Linked DNA regions of Sus scrofa. The protein of the gene in region 5 interacts with the protein of the main gene of each other region in a pairwise test. Links are inferred from orthologs where the notes say so. Each region holds a gene or a part of one and is shown on either strand. Other genes may lie near its edges. The genes, in order: PLOD3, RUFY1, PPL, TRAPPC6A and RAB3IP.

Region 1 (2,310 bases), on a different chromosome or scaffold from region 5:
GTCTCCTCTTTTTCAAGGCTGCTTCCCATCCCTCTCTTCCAGGAAGCTTTCTTGGGTTAATCTTCCCGATTCCCTTCTGATCCAAAGCAGCTACCGTCAGGTTCCAGCCTGTCTTCCCTTATAGAACACCTGCCCCCAGGAGGGCCTTCCTTCCCTAGCACTGTCCCTGCAGCCCAGCTCAGGTCTGTGCCACCCCCAGCCTTCACACGAGGGAGAAGATGCCATCAGGAGAGGAGAGAATAGAAGAAGAGAGCTGAGGAGGTGGGTTTTCACCTGAGCCAGACAAGGGAGGCCCTTTTGGTCTGGCCCTCATGCTCAGGCGATGACAGGGAGTTAGATATGGGGTCGCAGGAAGCTTCCAGGCTCCCACTCTGCTTTGGCATCATGCTTCTGCCTTTTCGTCTTTTCTGTTCTTTTCCTTTGGAGTGACCCCGGTCTCCCCTTCACTCTGGGTGGCGGGAGGGACATGGGGTCCAGAGGTAGATCAAAGAATCAATGGACGCGAGAGTTACAAATCCTCCTTTATTGAGGGAGACTGAGAAACAATAACTTATTACATGGCGAACCCCTAGAAGCCCTCTCCCTGGGAATGCTTGGGGGCTGAGGAGCAGGGCAAGGGGGCTTCCTGAGCTTCCCGAGGGCCGAGGGCCGTGTGGTGGGGGCGGGGCAACACATTCAGTCCCAGACACACGGAACATGCGCCCGAGAGGCAGGGCACACCCCCTCCAAGGAGGGAGCGCGAGAAGGCACAATGGCAGGGAAGGTTGGGCAGAGTGGTTGAGTGTCAGGGGTCGACAAAGGACACCATGATATAGCGAGTGCCCCGTGTGGTGGGCAGCCCCTCATGGTAGTGGGTGAGACGGCCAGGGTGCAGGAGCCCCCAGCCCTTCCGTGGGGACGAGATCACACAGTCGTAGCGCAAGAAACGGCAGCCGCCTCCCTGGAGGATGAGAAGGGGACGGGGTGGAGTGTGAACAGGTGCGGGGACTGGGCGGCAGCCAGGCACCCTGGTGGCACCCTGAAGTGGAGCGTGGCAGGGACCCACCTCATAATCCAGGCCCTTGTGGTTGAGGGCAACGTTGAGGGTGAAGGTGGATGAGTCGTGATGGGGCCGCAGAGAGGGCTGCTCATCCGGCCGGTAGCGGACCACGAAGTTCATGACCGCCCGGGTCTGTGGGGACATGGGAGGAGAGGCTGGAGGTGGGGGTCCTGAGGTCTGGGGAGGGGGAGAGGTGGCAGGGGCTCTCATGCTACCCCCCCCCAGGGGGGCTGCCTTCCTGCAGGATTTCACTCCATGGGGTCCCAAATGCCTCAGGAACCCAAAAGGGTGCTGCATGGAGACGGCCAGCCGGGTTCTAGGAAGGTGGAGTCAGGGTAGCAGGTTCAGCGGTCACCTTGGTGTGGTAGCCTGGGAACAGGCTCTCGGTCATGGGCCCCACATATGTCCTCAGCAGCTGCAGCCACTGGTCCTCATAGCCCACCTGCTTCATGTGGATGTCTACGGTGGGCACATTCTCGTAGCCTCCAGCCAGCCTTGAATCCTGCGGGCAGTGGGCACTAAGCTGACAGGGCAGTGCCAGCTTCCTCATCTGCTCCCAGGCCTTAAAGCTTATGTTCCCTCCATCTGGAAGTCTTGACTCCTTAGCTTGACTCACTCCTGCTGGGCCTCTGAGTCTCAGGTAAGATGCCACCTCTTCTGTGAAGCCCCTTGGTCCCCCCATGTCTGGGGCATGGGCCCCTCCTGTGACTCCCACAGCACCTGGGCTGCCCAGCACAGCCTTTAGAAGCTGGGTCACTGCTGCTACTGACAGCAGGTGAGACCTAGGAGAGCAGGGCTCGACCCGTACAATTCATCAACGCACTGCACTGCCAAAGTCAGTGGCTGGCATCTAGGACCCACCTAGCATTTCTTGAATGAATGAATGAATACAGTTGTGCCCCTTCCACTTGGGGACCCCTTTCTGCTCCCACTCTCTAAATTTCATTTTCCTTTCACCAGCCCCAGCCTCTTCTTCCTCCCAGGGGCCCTCCTGCTCCCCTGCCCCAGCACCCCACCTCATGCCGGCCTCCTGACCACTGGCCGTAATGCTCCATTTCTTCCACCAGCTCATCACACATTTGCTCCGACAGCAGAGGGAACCAGTACACATCTGGGCAGGGCTGAGGACAGACGGGGCGGGGGAAGAACAGGGCAGGGTGACGCTCGGGGAGCGGATAGGCAGCCAGTGGAAGGGAGAAGAAGCAGGGAGCAGAAAGGGAAACCAGGCCATGAGAGAATGTGGAGGAATGGGGCTGGACCAGGAGAGGGTG
Region 2 (3,516 bases), on a different chromosome or scaffold from region 5:
TGCAACCTACACCACAGCTCATGCAATGCCGGATCCTTAACCCACTGAGCGAGGCCAGGGATGGAACCCGCATCCTCATGGTTCCCAGTTGGATTCGCTTCCACTGTGCCACGGCGAGAACTCCCTAATATTTTATTTTTTGCAGCTGCACAGTCGGGGATCTTCAAACCAAGATAGATGGCTTGGAAAAGACTAATTCAAAGCTGCAAGAAGAGGTTTGTAACTTACTGAAATTCTTAAAACAAAATGACCCTAAGGCTAATACAAGAAACAGTGCAGTTGGTCTGTCTGACAGGAGCTTCTTGCTGGTAGGAATGGAAATTGCTAACCTTGGGTTGAGCTGCACGCGGGACAGGCACTCTCAGAACTTTGCATCCTCAGACTGTCCGTGTTCTGGCCCATCCAGAGCTCCCATGAGCCGTTGCACCTGACCATGGGCCAACTCCAAGCGACCTAGGTTTTATCACCTCACAGTAGCCCAGTATTGGTTGGAGTCCTGATTGGAAAAGCCCCGCTCCTGTCGTGAACGTGCTGTCTCTTCCTCTTTCCGACCTTCCTATGGTGGAGTGTGTCTCCCTGCTGCCCAGAAGGCACAGTCTCTGTCATGGGTCACAGTACTCTCACCCGCCCCTTCTGTATTTCGGCCCCTCAGGAGCATGGACCAGTCTCCCCACAGTGTGGTCTTTCTCTGCTTTCTCACTAGGAAGAGAGAGAATGAAAGGACAGGAAGAAGGAGGGCTGAGGCCGAGGAAGAAAACTTGCTGCCAGCTGCCCGGCAGTCTCCTTGGCGGACACATCTTGTCTCCTCTTAGCAGGAGGGGGGTTGCTCAGCCTTTCTGAGGCTTTCCACAGGTAGCGGTCCCTGGCTGCTCGGGCCTCCCCACCAAGTCTCTCGGAGGAGGAGGAGGGCTGTGAGGGGGCCGAGAGTGACCCCCCACGGTGTGGAGAGCCCTAGGGCACACCTTTGTAACGGAGGCCCCCACTCTAAAGCTCACTCCAAACTTCCTGCTCTCTTCTGAGGGGCCAGCCCTGAACAGCTTTCAGGAGAGGAGCCCAGATTTGTGACAGGAGAAGGAAATTCAGAGACGGCATTTGTAGGTGGACCACACGGGAGAAACCTCAGCACACTTAGAACTGAGGGGCCCAGTCTCACCAGGGCGGGGTGAAGGGCCCTTCGGGCCTCAGTTAGGTCGGTTTTTGAGCCTCACTTTCCTCATCTCCAAATTGGATGATAGCCTTGCAGTAGTGGTATAAAGATTAAATTTGCTTAATACCACATGAATGTGCCTCACCCAACACTTGGCATGTGGAGGAACTCAAGACACCTTAGTTGATTTTAGAACAAGCAGATTCACTCTTTGTTCCCCCAGATAAGGTAGCATGCTTTGAACGAAAGTGTAATTGAGCTTTTAAAACTAAAAAAAAATAAATAAATAACTGGGTTTTTGTGGGTTTTTTTTCAAAGACAAACAATTGTAATAGAAAATGTACTTTAGAGAAAAGCATACCTCTGTCTTCAGGATGTGCTGTGTCCAGAGAGTAGAATGGGAACTAGCTTGTGGGTTTTGCCTGCTTCTTCTCTTGTAGCAACTAGCACCTCCTTTAAAGCCTTAAAGTTTCTGACTTGGGCACAGCTGTTATGCTGAGAAACGCCCATCCTGGGTCTGGGTTTTCGAGTCCGCGTGGACCTGGACGCTGTTGACCAGGAGGCAGTGAGGAGTTCATTAGCGAATGATGCTGAGAACACAGCCAAGTACAGAGGGCAGATGTCTTGCTTCTTTCTCCTTCTCCAGCCTCACCTTCTCTCTCCAGGCCGGTTCAGAGGCTGGATAAGAGTGGGTTGGTTGGGGATTTTACTCCCCTACCTTGCCTCTCCTGCTCGCCTCTCCTCAGCAGGTCCGTGAAGGCATTCTGCTTCTATAGGCTTTTCCCTAAACTACATTGACTCATTCAAGGCAAGGAAGATGTCTTCCTCGGGTAGGCCTTTAATGGTTTGGTTGCAATTCCTCTCCCAGACTCTCTAATTCTCTCTCCAGTGATAAGATATCCTTGTGCCCATTGGCTGGAAAAACTAAAAAGAAGGAAGAATCAGAAAAAAAAAAAACCATAATCCCTTGGCTAAGTGATAGCTATTTTTATCCCTCAGTATATATGTATATATATTCCTCATCTCTTCTTAAGCATTTTGAACATGGTTGAGTTTTTATTTTGTTTTGTTTTTTAATTAGAGGTGAGAACATACTCTATGACCTGCTTTATTTCCATACTGTAGGTGTTATGTTCTCGAATCTTTAAAAGCTTTTGTGAACATTTTAATAACTACCTATTTCTGTTTTATGCTTCCTCCGGGATGTATTAAACCATTTCTAATATTGAACATTTAGGCTGTTTCTAGTATTTTGTGTCCATAAATCTTTGCCCACATGAAGGAATATGCTATCATTTTTGTAAAAAAGAATATCTGGGGAGGGCAGAGATGGCTAGGAGCAGGGGTGGGAGAGCGCTTTTACTGTTTATGTTTTTATGTCTTTGGAATTAGGAACCATGTTATTACCATGTTATTACCTATTCAAAACAAGGATATAAAATAAAAAATAAAATATCCCATATGTGAAAATAACACATTGGCAGTTGTAAAGATGTCATTTGAATGGCAAGATTCATTTTGATGATAAGAAATATAAAAATCTCTCTTAATCAGCTTGCAGCTGCAACAGACCGGATTTGTTCACTTCAAGAAGAACAGCAACAATTGAGAGAACAAAACGAATTAATTCGTGAGAGAAGCGAGAAGCGAGTAGAGGTGAGAAGTTGGCCTCTCAGCTGGGCGGCATGTTCCTCACACAGACGCGTCCCTCGCAGATCTCAAGCTCAGAATGTGCAAAGATGTCCCGTTTGACAGCAGAAAGTCCTGCCTGCTGCTGTGCCCCTCTCAGGCCACCTGACCTCCTGTGGTTTCCCAAGCACACCCTCCCTCGCCTCCAGGCCTTTGCGAGTAAACATTTCTGAAAGTTTCTGTTCCTTCTTTGGCTCCTCTCTGGTCCCCTGCGGTGCTGTCCCTCTTGCTCATCAGTCAGCCTGGGACCTTCTCCTCTGTTCCCATAGCCTTTTGCACTTCCTTCCATTATAGAATCCGTTTCCTGTTTTGTAAATCTCTGGCTTGCAGCTGTTTCACCTGGCAGCTTGAGGGTAAAGACCATATCTGATTCATCTCAGAATTCACCCAGTACTAAAAACTTGCTAGACAAGGAGTTCTCTTGTGTCGCAGCAGATTAAGGAGTCAGTGTTGTCACTGCAGCAGCTTGGATCGCTGCTGTTGTGTGGGTTCGATCCCTGGCCCAGAAACTTCCACATTTTTTTTTTTTTTTTTTTTTTGCTTTTTAGGGCCACACCCACAGCACATGGAGGTTCCCAGGCTAGGGGTCAAACTGGAGCTACAGCTGCCAGCCCACACCACAGCCACAGCTACACCAGATCTGAGCCATGTCTTCGACCCACCCAACATCGCACGGCAAC
Region 3 (4,142 bases), on a different chromosome or scaffold from region 5:
GAGTTGGGCAAGAGGCTACTCCCCGCCCCTCAATCTGGTCCATGAACTTGTCCCCACCAAGGGGGAGGGGCACAGGGATATGCTGGGCTGGCAAGACCTCACAGGGAAATGCCTGGCGCTACCCAGGGCTGTGACTGTGCAAGGCCACGGGGACCCAAGAGAAGAGCTTCTCACCCCATCTTGGGGAGAGAATCAGGACTGCTTCCTGGAGTAAGAGGCCTCTAAGAGATCTGGGACCAGCCAGTCATTCAGCCAGGGGCAGAGGGTGGCTGCCTTGGGCCAGGGGTTATTGAGAAGGGCAGGACCCGTGTCCTCGTCACCCTGAGTCCCCAGAACGCTAAAGGATGGGAATTCCTTCCTTCCTGCCCTTTGCTGGGAAGGCCAGGACACTCCCAGCTTGTCTGGAGTCATTATAACCTTTTGTTGGGTCCAAGCCTCGGCCTTGGGGGACTGGGCAGATGGATGGAAGCAGGAGAAGGGGGAGCAGAGGGATGGGGCCGGCAGAGGGCAGGGTGGGGCTGGGGCATCTCCTGATGTGTGGGTGTGGGTGTGTGTGAAGAACTGGGGGGGCCCCCGTCTTGGTAGGGGGAGGACAGAACAGTCCTCCGGGGCTGGCATGGAGCATTTGATTGTGCAAGAACAGTTCAGGGACTGGACGGGACCCCAGCTGGGTTTGCGAGCCAGCTGGACCCAGACACAGAGGAACAGCGTGCAGGGCCCTGCCCAATCCCTGGGGTTGTGAAAGACCACAGAGGCTTGCGGGGGGCGGGGGGGAATCTTGGGAGGGGAGGGTAATAAATGCCCCTGAACTTGAAACAGCTTAAAGGAGAGCTGGGACCAGGGTGGGGGGAGGGGGATGAATCACAGGACAGGGGAGTTTCTGAAAGGGTTGGAACTCAAAGAAATGGAGAACCCACCCTCCATAGGCCAGTGCCCAGGCTGCTTGCACCTGTCGGACAGGTCGGCCTGGACGGGACCACAGGGGCAGGGAGGGAGCCCAGGCCAGCGTCTCCTCACCTTCCTCTGAGGCCTGCAGAGGAGTGGGGGGTGGGGGTGGGGAAGAGGAGTCTCAGGTGAGGGCACCTTGGGGCAACTGCTGAGTTCCCCACCTGCCTGAAGGCCCTTGTCAGGAGAAGTTTGGGAAAGCTGTCTCCCAGCCGGGAGCCCCCACCCCATTTTCCTTAGAGAGGGAACAAGGTGGGGTCTTCAGTCCTGCCTCCTTCCTCAATCTCAGCATCTCCACCAGGCTCCCCTAAACCCCTTATTAAATGCATACATGAGGTTTATCAAAACGGACGTGGGCTGCTGCCTCAAAGCAAACACATCAAGACATGTCATTCCCTTTCCAGGCAACCCTGGGAACCCGCGGCTCAAAGAAGCTGCCAGTTTCGCTAGTTTCGGGGCTGGAGGGGGGGGGGCAGCCACGCCCCGGAAAAATCCCCGCAGGGAGATGGCCCAGTTGCTGCTCAGCTGCTGCGCAGACCCCGAAGGAGCGGGGAGTTGGGGGTGGACAGAGGGTGGACCCCCAGCCGGGACTCCCCCAACCCCACCCCACACCCACCCATTCCTCCGGACTAGATTGGAGAACTCAGGATGGCTCTAGAAGTAATGCTCCAGGTGGCACGTGCCCCCACCTCTCGCCTCCCCGACGCCAGAAGCACCTGCTCCTCCAAGAAGCGCTGGTGAACGCCCCCCTGCCCCAGGCTCCAGCTCAGTTTCACTGCCCTGTTGCGCCCCTAGACAGCTTCCTGGGTCCCCCGCGCTTCCCCCCAACGCCCCTGCCTTGGGTGTAGCATTCTCGGGACACGTCACCCTCCACCCTGGCCCAGGAGGACCCCCCCCCAGCCCCCTGCGCAAGGCGGTCCCCTGTCCCTCCAGCTTAGTTCCCCGCCTCTAAGCGCCTAAGCTGGTGCTTTCTGGGCTCCTAGAACTCTCTGGTACCAAACAGCGTGTCTTCCCTCGGCGACCGCAGCCCATCCCCATCCCCATCCCCAGCTTGGCGGTGCTTCCCAGCTCAAGGATGACCCTCGAGCCCCGTGTTCCCGCGGGTCGCGCACTCCTGGCCGGGTTTCCCCCGCTCCCTGGGCCTCCCAGGACAATGCTTCCTGGGCCCCCGCCGCAGCCCTCAAGGCCCAGCCGTTCCCCCAACACGCACACACGCCCTGGGCGGTGCATCCTGGCCCAGCGCGTCCGCAGCGCGCGGCATGCGGGCGCCTGCTCACCTGCGGGTCCGAACCGTGGGGCTGTATTTGCCTTTGTTTCTCTTCCTGAAGAGCGAGTTCATGGTGGCGCTCGGGGTGCGCGGGCGGGGCGGCGGGTCGCGGCGCCGGGCTGGGCACTGGACGGCGGAGGGCCCGGCACGCACCGAGGGGCGGGCAGCGGGCGCAGGTGAGCGAGCGGCGGCGCGGGAGCCCCGAGTGCAGCGCGGCGGCGGCGGCCGGTCACTACTCGCAGGGGGCGGGGCGCCCGCAGGCCGCGGGCGCTCCCGGCCGCTCCCGAGAAGGTGGTGCTTACCTTCCCCGGGGAGGGGCACCGGGCGGGGCTTCCCGGCACGCCGGGCGCGCGCCCTCGTCCGGGCCCGGCTGGAGCGAGCGGGACGCCCGCCCTGGGCTGGGGAGGGGGGGGCCCGCCGCGCGCGCCCCGACGCCGGGACACTGGAGAGGCTGGGCAGGCCGGCGGGTGCGCACTGGCGGCTTTCGCGAGCAAGCCGGGGACCTGCTACCTCCCACCCCCGGCCTGGCGCGCCCCCTGGCTGAGGTCCCTCTCCAGGCTCTAGGCTGCTCCTCTGGGGCATCAGCGCTCACCTCTCTTTGGCTGACATCCCCTCCCCCCAACAGGTGTGGCAGAGATCGGATGGGTCCCTGTGCCCCACAGATAGTGAATTACACCCAGGTGGTGGCAGGGTAGATGGTAGTTGAGAAAAGGGAGCCCTGGAGTGCGCCCGCCTGAGTTCAAGTCCTACCCCCACAAACGGTCAGCTGACTCCTTGGCGAGGCATCTTGCCGCTTCCAGCCTCAGTTTCCTTATTTGTCAAACAGTGATAACCACAGCCCCCATCCCATAGGGTTCTGAGGAGATTCCTGGAGAGACACACAAAGCGCTTAGGGCAATGCCTAATGTGTCAAGTCAGACTTGGCGCCAGGTGAGCCCGCGGCCGGGCTGCGCTGGGTGCGGGCAGAGAAGGCTGCAGTTAGACAGTAAATTGAGTCTGGCCCGGGAACTAGACGGGACCCTGAGGGCTGGGAGGACTCGGCTCCACTTTGGAGGGCACTGGGGGTGCGGAGCCCAGCGGGAAGGAGCGGCGCAGAGTGAGTGAGTCAGAAAGCATGGAGATAAGCCGCGGCCAAAGGGCTAATTAGGGCTCAGATGGGGAGCTATGAGGTCTGCGGGGCAGGAGGCAGGGGCTGGCACGGGGCATCGAGTCATCACGCCAGTCCCTTTCCCAGCTTTTTTTTTTTTTTTTTTTTTTTTTGTCTTTTTAGGGACGCAGGAAAGGCATATGGAGGTTCCTAGGCTAGGGGTCCAATCAGAGCCACAGCTGCCGGCCTACACCACAGACACAGCAACACCAGATCCAAGCCATGTCTGAGACCTATACCACAGCTCACCGCCACACCAGATCCTTAACCTACTAGTCAGGCCAGGGATTGAACCCGAATCCTCATGGATAACAGTTGGTTTTGTTACCGATGAGCCTTGACGGGAACTCCCCCAGCTGTTTTTTATTTATAAAATAAAGCGATTGGGAGTTCCTGTTGCAGCTCAGTGGAAACCAATCTAACTAGTATGCAGGAGGACGCAGGTTTGATCCCTGGCCTTGCTCAGTAGGTTGAGGATCCGTCGTTGCCGTGAGCTGTGGTGTAGTTTGCTGATGTGGCTCAGATCCTTCGCTGCTGTGGCTGTGGTGCAGGCCAGCAGCTACAGCTCTAATTTGACCCCTAGCCTGGGAACCTCCACATGCTGCAGGTGGGGCCCTAAAAAGAACCAAAAAAATAAAATAAAATTAATAAAATGAAATAAAATAAAATAAAAACTTTTCCTGCTCCAGACCCCAAGACATCGGAGAGCTATGTCCTTATTCCTAAGGGGGAACCTGTTGGTGGGCTTAAGGGGATCTGTGGATCCTCCTACAGTTGCTTTCA
Region 4 (4,300 bases), on a different chromosome or scaffold from region 5:
CCCCGCGCCAGGCGCACGCTGTGGGCCGCCGCCAATCCCGCGGCCTGGGCAGCCGCCAGCCTACCGGCCAAGGCGGCCACATCACGGCCCGCACGACGGTACACGCCGCTCACCGCGGCCGCTACGTCGTGGTCCAGCCGCGCCTGGCTCTCGGCCAGCCGGAGCTGCAGCAGCGAAAGCGCAGGGGCGGGTGCCGGCGTCTCCTCCTCACCCCAGGTCTCCCCGGCCGTCTCCCGCTGCACCACGAGCGGAGGCAGGTCCCTCGGCGCGGCCTTCGGCTCCGGCTCCGTGTCGGAGTCGGTCTCCGCGGCCTCGCCAGCCACCCGCAGCCCCGTGGGGCGGCCACGCGTCGGGCCCGAGGGGCCCAGGTACAGCTCCTCCTCCTCCGAGACGCAGAGAGCTCCGAGTCGGTCTCGGCCGCCTCCCCCGGCACCATCGTCTCAGGCCTCCGCAGCGGCCTCCGCCGACGACTCTGGGACGCCATGGAGCCGAGCTAGGGAGAAGACGCACGAAGGGACGATGTGAGAGGCGGGCGCCCCGCGGTGGTTAAAAGGTGCAGGTTCTGGATTCTCACCCCTCCACTCTTAGCAATTTGGGGCCAACTGCTTCCCTTGCTAGGGCCTCAGTTTCCTTTTCAGCAAACAGCGCTCACCGTCCCTAATGATGATGATGTGCGGCGGGGTGGTGGCTACTGGACCCCAGCCTCTTCAGCTGACTTAGGAAAAACTGAGGACCACCAGCTCGCTCAAGGCACGAGTTCCCACACTCCCAAACTAAGCTCTTTCGGATTTTGCCTCCTAGCAGAAGCCACACCCTCCGCACCGTCCTTCGCAAGTATACGGGCTCCTGAGCCGCGCAGGGACCAACGGCTGGGTCACAGACAGGAGGACAGTCCAGCTGGACTCTGGGGAGGGTGCACCAGTGGGGGCGGGGTGGGGAACGCTATCACCGAAGACCGTACCGGGTCACCGACGCTCCGAGCCTGCGGGATCCGCTACCCAGCTGAAGTGCGCTCTTTACCGAGAAAGGAGGAAGGCGGCAGCCCCAACCAATAGGAGGGCAGGTTTTGCAGGTGTTGACGGCCAATCACCTGGGCTTCTCGGCTACCAACTAGGAAGCTAGCCCCTCAAGACCAATTTTGAGGGCGTGTGCGACGAGCCACGTGAATAGGGGCACAACCAATAGGAAAGCGGCTGGGCTGGAGCTTCCGGGTTGTGGTGTGAGGCTAGTGGACAACTAGGGATTCTAAAAGGGAAGATGTCGCGTGTAACCAGTGACTCGGCCAATGGAAATGCTCGAGGGCCCAGAAACAGGGAAGAGACGGAGGGAAGGGCGGAGATGCCTGTCACGTGCGGCCAATGTAGGAAAAGCAAGCCCTCCCCCTAGTCTCCCAGGTTCACGCGCGCACCACGAGAGCCCAGGGAAGGAAGGCGGGGCTAGTCTGAAATACCAATGGAAGCGAGAGTAGGCGGGCTCGCGCTCAGACACAGGAGGCGGGGCTTCCCCAGCTGGGCCAATGAGAGCACGAGGCGCTGGGCGGTCCTTAGGCTCTAGAGGCCGGCACATGGCGGACGCGGCACTGTTCGAGTTTCTGCACACCGAGATGGTAGCAGAGCTGTGGGCGCACGACCCAGACCCCAGCCCCGGGGTGAGCGCCGGGCCCTGGGGGTGGGGAGAAGGGGAAAAGAGGCACGGGCCGAGGCAGGAAGGCCAGATCGAGGCCGCGGGCGGCGCAGGTCGAACTCCTGCCCGCACCTGCCTCGCTTAGGTGACCTCGGGCGACGGCTTCCTCCTCTGCAAAGCGGGGGTCGCAGCAGGGCCAGCCTCGCGGGTTACTGCTAGAACTGAACGAGACAGCTCGGAGTAAAGCCCTAAGCTCAAAGCCTGGCACAAAGTAAGCGGATAGTAATTAGAATAAGTATGATTACTAGCTATATACTGAGGACTTACTGCCTGCGTCCCTCACGCTGGCTGTGAAAGCCGATTATTCGATTTCTCTGTGCCTCATTCCCTGACTTGTAAAATGGGATCATAACAGCACCCAAGACCCAAAGTGAGGCATTCATTCATTCGACAAACTTACTGAACGCCTGCTGTATTCCAAGGACTATTTTCCTGTCCTCGCGAAGTTTACTCTTTAATAGAGAAGTCAAACAATAAATAAAAGTAGACCATGCCACCAGCTAGTGAGAAGTGCTGTAAGGAAAAGTTAAGTAGAATCGAGGAAAGAAAAGGGATGGATGGTGGATGGTGGAGGAAGGCCTTTTCTGAGGAATAGAAGGGGGAAGGGCATTTGGAAGGGGGCAGGAAGTCTTCCTCAAAGCTTAGGGTAAGAAGCGTGCTTGGCAGGAGTTCCCGTCGTGGCGCAGTGGTTAACGAATCCGACTAGGAACCATGAGGTTGTGGGTTCCATCCCTGCCCTTGCTCAGCGGGTTAACGATCCGGCGTTGCCATGAGCTGTGGTGTAGGGCACAGACGCGGGCCCGGGCCCGGGCCCGCATTACTGTGGCTCTGGCATAGGCTGGTGGCTGCAGCTCCGATTAGACCCCTATCCTGGGAACCTTCATATGCCACGGGAGCAGCCCAAGAAATGGCAAAAAGACAAAAAAAATTGCTTGGCAATTTGGAAGTTGATCCTTATAAAAAATAAACGCTCACGGAGTTCCTGCCATGGTCCCTTGGACTAAGAATCCTGTCAGGGTGGAGGTGGGGGTTTGATTCCCAGCCACACACAGTAGGGATAAAAGGATCCAGGGGCTAGGATTCAACTCTTGGCCCCAAAACTTCCGCATGCAAAACTTCCGCATGCTGCTCGTGTGGCCATAAACAATAAATAAATAAATGCTCTGACTTTAAAGCACTAAGTGCAACATCAACCCTCAATTATAAAATGTTTCCAAGAAGAAAGGGTGAGGGAGAGAGCAGGAACTTAGTAAGTGCGGGGGCTGTGCCCACTTTTTTCATTATTATTCCTTTTATGATCTCATCATGTACATGCAAGACACTTTTATTGGCCTAGGTCTTCTTCCCCATTCGGGAGCCCTAACAAGGGTGCTGCTTGTTATCATCTCAACAGGGTTTTTTTTTGAGTTCATTCATTCAATGAACTGTAAAACCTGCAAGGTGCCAGACCCTGCCCTAGGCTCTGGGGATTACTCAGCAAATTGTGCAAAACCCTTGCCCTCCTGGAGCTTACACTGTAGTGAGGGAGACAAGTAAGTGAACAGATTTTGCACATTGAGGAAAATGCTGTGAAAAAGATAAAGCAGAGGAGGGGGAGTGACTGGCCTGGGGGCTGGGGGGAGGGTGCAGGGTCTCAGCACCCCATCCGTCCCAGCTTTCAAACCCGAAATCCAGGAGTCCCCAACCTCTGCTTCTACTCCCTTGCCTCCAACCATCTGCCAAGCCCGGCCTGTTCTGCTGTCTAAATGTCTCCATCTGTCCCCTCCCTGCCCCACACCAGTCTCCTCCCTCATTTCCCAGCGTATTCCACCTGTCACCTCGTCACTGCCCTGACACCTCTAAATCCTCCTGGTCTTGGCTCAAATGCCCCTCCCCCAGGAAAGCCTTCCCTGAGGGCCCCCCCCCCCCCCCGCCCCGTGGAAGTAGGTATCCTTGTTCTGTTCGCACAGCCCCCTCCCCATATCGCATTGAATAGGGAGCTGAATGATGTCTCCGCACAGTCCTTTGATTCTCAGCTGCCTCCTCTGCCAGGCTGCAGGCCATGTGGCAGGCAGCAGGTCCTCAGTGTGGATGTGGGGAGGAAGGGCGCACAGCCCCTGTGCCCTGGAGGAGGGTGGCAGGGACGGGGATTTATTCAGTACTGTGACTGGTAATAGCCCCACCACCTGCCCTCCTGGGCCTCACACTCCCGGATTTCATTCGATCCTCCCAACAACCCACAGAGGTCAGCGCCATCCTCCTCGCTTTGTAGATGAGGAGATGGAGGCATTGATGGATGGAGTCCTCACTGTCAAGTTGCAGAGTCAGGAATGTAACCAGACCTCCCACTTCCAGAGCCTGGGCTATAAACTCTCGCTTGTCTTAGCACATCTTCCTCCGGGAGGAGTGTCATGGGTTTCTGTGCCCAAGCAGGAATGGGGAACACGCGGCTACTGAGGTTTGCGCAGCACAGGGTTTTCAGAGCACGAGTGTGCCTGGGACCCTCAGCCTGGCAGTCCCCCCGTGCCAGGGTCCCACGCCAGAGATTCCCATGGAGCTGGCCTGGCGGGGGGCGGGGGGGTTATGCTGGGCATTGGGCCTTCCGGCTTCTGGGTGGTCCCTGCACGTAGCCAGAGTG
Region 5 (3,516 bases):
CCAAAAAAAACGATCCAATCTCCCAAATGTCTAGCTGTCCCTTTTCAATGTATCCACTATGGTGTCCAAGATACTACCATTATCCACACCACCAAAAAATATAATAATAATGTTGGAGCTGCTCTTAAGACAAAAGTGCACACTGTTCTAAATATATGCATAAGATTAAGTCTCTTTTGAAAATAATCAAAAAGTAATTTGGAAGCCAAGTTAATAAAAGTGTTTGAATAAATGGAGATTCACTAAATTGTGAAAGCTAGTTTGGGATCAAAAGTGACACCAATTGTTCTACTATTACCTGAAGGCATTTCCAAAAGAATTTTCCAAAATGTTTATTGTATAAGCAGCAAGACTAAAAGTAGCACACATACAGCCTTCTAGATTGACTATCTAAAAATATAACATTTATTCAGACATTTTTTGGCATTTCAGCCTCCAGTACCTACCATCTGACTGTCAACAATAATCGAGGCTGGCACCCGCCTTCCTATTCACTCTTCCAGTTGTCCCTTCTCTTCTTACCCAACTTAATAAATTTTCCCAAGTAAACTTCTCCACAGATTCCCTCAGCTCAGCTCAGTACTACCTGTCCACATATGAAGCTACACCCACCCACAGCCACCCAAACACAGAGTAGCGTCCCTCACCCTCTGGCAGCTCTAAGCCACTGTTGTCCTCAAGCACTGGATACACTATTAGTGGAGCACTGACTGCAGCCATGGCCTCTAGGACAGCTCAATCGGATGTGCACGTAGTCTACGTGAAAGTAACAAAAGCCTGACTGTATCCCAGCTTTCCTACAGACCTTCCTCTAAGGTGTACAACGGCAATCTCAATGTGAATTTTTTCATCCCAATCCATAAATTCCTTGAATCAAAGCTAAAGGCAGAAGGATAAAAATATTAGCAGGTAAGTAATACTTACATTTTCAAATTCATTCTTTGTAAAGTCTACCCTTTGATGGATATAAGGCCCAAAGTGTTCCAAGAAATGATTCTAGTTAAAAGGCAGTAATTTAAACTATTTATTAAGAGCTGACTCTGTGTCAGGGACTATGGCAAGCGCTTCACAAACATTAATCCTCAAAGTTGAGCAAGATAAATATTATAGTCCCCATTTATAGATAAGGAAACAAGGGTTTAGAGAGAAAATAACTTGACCAAGGTTACAGAACAAGAAACCAGTAAAAGTTCACATCTGAGTGACTTAACCTCAAAGCCTTGCCTACTTGTGTGTCTGTGCATGCACACGTGTGTTTTAAATGCTTTCAGAAGATAAGCTGCAAATGCATTGACTGAATGCCCCTAGCACATTTTCTGTAGAAACATGGACATGTTTCGTTTTCTTTCCAATTGTGGTATCTTTTTCTAAGACTTACACAAATTTAAGTGTTTCCTTTGTCTAAGGAAACCTTTTGACAAGTTTTTCACAAAGTATTAGATTACAGGACATATCTCGAAAGCAAAAAAATTACATGCTGCCTATTCATATTTTAAGGAAATTTCATAAACTAAAAACAAAACTTTAAAATGTAGCATGAGAAAACACTTAAATTTTCTTAGCATAAACAACAGGGGGGAAAGGTACATGATTACACTGAGAAACCACAGCAAATATGTAAGCTTTATCAAGCAATTAAAAGTGCTACTTGGAGTTCCCGTTGTGGCGCAGTGGTTAACGAATCCGACTGGGAACCATGAGGTTGCGGGTTCGGTCCCTGCCCTTGCTCAGTGGGTTAATGATCCGGCGTTGCCGTGAGCTGTGGTGTAGGTTGCAGACGCGGCTCGGATCCCACGTTGCTGTGGCTCTGGCGTAGGCCGGTGGCTACAGCTCTGATTCAACCCCTAGCCTGGGAACCTCCATATGCCGCTGGAGCGGCCCAAGAAATAGCAACAACAACAACAAAAAAGACAAAAGACAAAAAAAAAAAAAAAAAAAAAAAAAAAAAAAAAAAAAAATAAAAGTGCTACTTAAATTGAAAGAAATCAGAATTAAAAGTTATGACTAAAAGCGTTCTTTAATATTTAAAAGACACCACTGTGAATTTCAGATTTTGTCACATTCATCTTTGACCAAATATTGAACTGCTCCCTCACTATCATCTCTTCCGTTAATAACTAAACAAAATACAATTCAACTAGAAGAGGTAACCTAACCTTGGTTGTTCAGTTTAATAAACTCCTTGCTTTCATGCAAAAAAAATCTGAACAAACACACACAGCTTCATAAAGATTAATGATGACCTTGAACTCAACAATGTAAAATACAGTTTTTAAGAAAAAAATGGGCGAGAGCTGCTCCATAAATTACTGATCAATTTCCTTGGAAATACTTTTTCATTGTATTTAAGTAAAAAATATTACACAGTTTTAACAATTATTACTCAAAACTGCTCAAAATATTTCTACATTATCTCAGTTATCTTTATAACATACCGCTAAAAGGATAAGGCTATCATTAATTCTATTGTTTGTTCTTCATTATCTGAATTAACTCCAGGACTACCTTACCAATATAAAATTCTGCCTCTGGAATGTGCTGTTCTTTAAGAAAATCACCTAAATATTTTCACACATTTCTTATATTCATACTTTGCTAGAGCACTCTAACAATAAATTTTGTCTAGCCAGACCATGAAAGCCACCCACTCTCCTTCATCCAACACACAACAGTTTGCTCCCTAAAAGAAATACCGAGATTAAGAAACTTACCAAGTTTCCAGCAGGTACTCCATGGTCAGCCAGGTAGAGAAGGGAACTGAAGAATCCCTGAAAGCAGCCAGCTCTAGATAAAGCCTCCCCCATCTTAATATTGAATATTTTGTACTACATATTTTGCTGACAGAAATTATAACCGACATCTCAGTGATGAGAATAAGTATCAACAGAGTCAGAGGGGACAGTCCTGGACGAGTTACCTCTTTGCAGTCTTTTACAATTGGCTGTATCACACTGAGGTCCTGATGACTGCCACTCATAGCACTGCTTGTACTTTTATTTCGTGTATGACCCTTTTTAAAATGTGTCTTTCCACCTGGCAGAGGCTCTTGTGTAGGTGATGTCGGAGAACTGGACAATACAAGTGTCTTCAATGCAGCCACTTCAGCTTGAAGTACATCAATCTTGGGGAAAAAATCAACATAATCACATACGCTAAGTACGTTTATGATAGATGCAGCTAAATGTTAGTAATTTGGTCAAAACACTTCCCTTTCAAAGATGAAATATAAGTTTAATTTGTACTTCCTATGGAGTAATGAAAGTAAAACCAACTTTTTTAATGTTTCCATATGGTTTGGATTTAGCTGATACTCACGTGTCAGGTGAAATTTTTAAAATTATCAAAATGTCTAACATTGCACTTAAAGTGAATTTTTAACATCTCCAAAATATATTAAAAACTAGCTTATGATTAGCTGCAGTTAGTAAAACCTAACAACATTTTGATGGCTTTTTTTAGTGAGTTAGGAAAATAAACATTAACTTCAAAATGTGATTACATAACCCTTTTGATAAT

The links.
Region 1: the proteins of RAB3IP (region 5) and PLOD3 interact in binary tests that used the Homo sapiens proteins (3 or more experiments, as listed by UniProt). The link is inferred for Sus scrofa from reciprocal best matches to the Homo sapiens genes RAB3IP and PLOD3.
Region 2: the proteins of RAB3IP (region 5) and RUFY1 interact in binary tests that used the Homo sapiens proteins (3 or more experiments, as listed by UniProt). The two-hybrid records come from large-scale screens. The link is inferred for Sus scrofa from reciprocal best matches to the Homo sapiens genes RAB3IP and RUFY1.
Region 3: the proteins of RAB3IP (region 5) and PPL interact in binary tests that used the Homo sapiens proteins (3 or more experiments, as listed by UniProt). The two-hybrid records come from large-scale screens. The link is inferred for Sus scrofa from reciprocal best matches to the Homo sapiens genes RAB3IP and PPL.
Region 4: the proteins of RAB3IP (region 5) and TRAPPC6A interact in binary tests that used the Homo sapiens proteins (3 or more experiments, as listed by UniProt). The two-hybrid records come from large-scale screens. The link is inferred for Sus scrofa from reciprocal best matches to the Homo sapiens genes RAB3IP and TRAPPC6A.

What each region holds. Positions count from the first base shown.
Region 1 is NC_010445.4:8,911,279-8,913,588, forward strand, and holds the end of PLOD3 (procollagen-lysine,2-oxoglutarate 5-dioxygenase 3), read right to left. Parts: intron 2,161-2,310; coding exon 2,056-2,160; intron 1,542-2,055; coding exon 1,395-1,541; intron 1,172-1,394; coding exon 1,046-1,171; intron 941-1,045; coding exon 785-940; 3' UTR 509-784; downstream 1-508. UniProt on the Homo sapiens protein: Multifunctional enzyme that catalyzes a series of essential post-translational modifications on Lys residues in procollagen. Plays a redundant role in catalyzing the formation of hydroxylysine residues in -Xaa-Lys-Gly- sequences in collagens.
Region 2 is NC_010444.4:78,994,088-78,997,603, reverse strand, and holds part of RUFY1 (RUN and FYVE domain-containing protein 1), read left to right. Parts: intron 1-145; coding exon 146-215; intron 216-329; exon of another isoform or gene 330-699; intron 700-1,508; exon of another isoform or gene 1,509-1,627; intron 1,628-2,701; coding exon 2,702-2,803; intron 2,804-3,516. UniProt on the Homo sapiens protein: Activating adapter involved in cargo sorting from early/recycling endosomes. Regulates retrieval of proteins from endosomes to the trans-Golgi network through interaction with the dynein-dynactin complex.
Region 3 is NC_010445.4:37,459,154-37,463,295, reverse strand, and holds the start of PPL (periplakin), read right to left. Parts: upstream 2,810-4,142; 5' UTR 2,795-2,809; coding exon 2,223-2,794; intron 1-2,222. UniProt on the Homo sapiens protein: Component of the cornified envelope of keratinocytes. May link the cornified envelope to desmosomes and intermediate filaments. May act as a localization signal in PKB/AKT-mediated signaling.
Region 4 is NC_010448.4:51,586,691-51,590,990, reverse strand, and holds the start of TRAPPC6A (trafficking protein particle complex subunit 6A), read left to right. Parts: upstream 1-1,494; 5' UTR 1,495-1,516; coding exon 1,517-1,648; intron 1,649-4,300. UniProt on the Homo sapiens protein: May play a role in vesicular transport during the biogenesis of melanosomes.
Region 5 is NC_010447.5:34,041,186-34,044,701, reverse strand, and holds part of RAB3IP (rab-3A-interacting protein), read right to left. Parts: intron 3,122-3,516; coding exon 2,918-3,121; exon of another isoform or gene 2,769-2,917; coding exon 2,712-2,768; intron 880-2,711; exon of another isoform or gene 648-879; intron 1-647. UniProt on the Homo sapiens protein: Guanine nucleotide exchange factor (GEF) which may activate RAB8A and RAB8B. Promotes the exchange of GDP to GTP, converting inactive GDP-bound Rab proteins into their active GTP-bound form.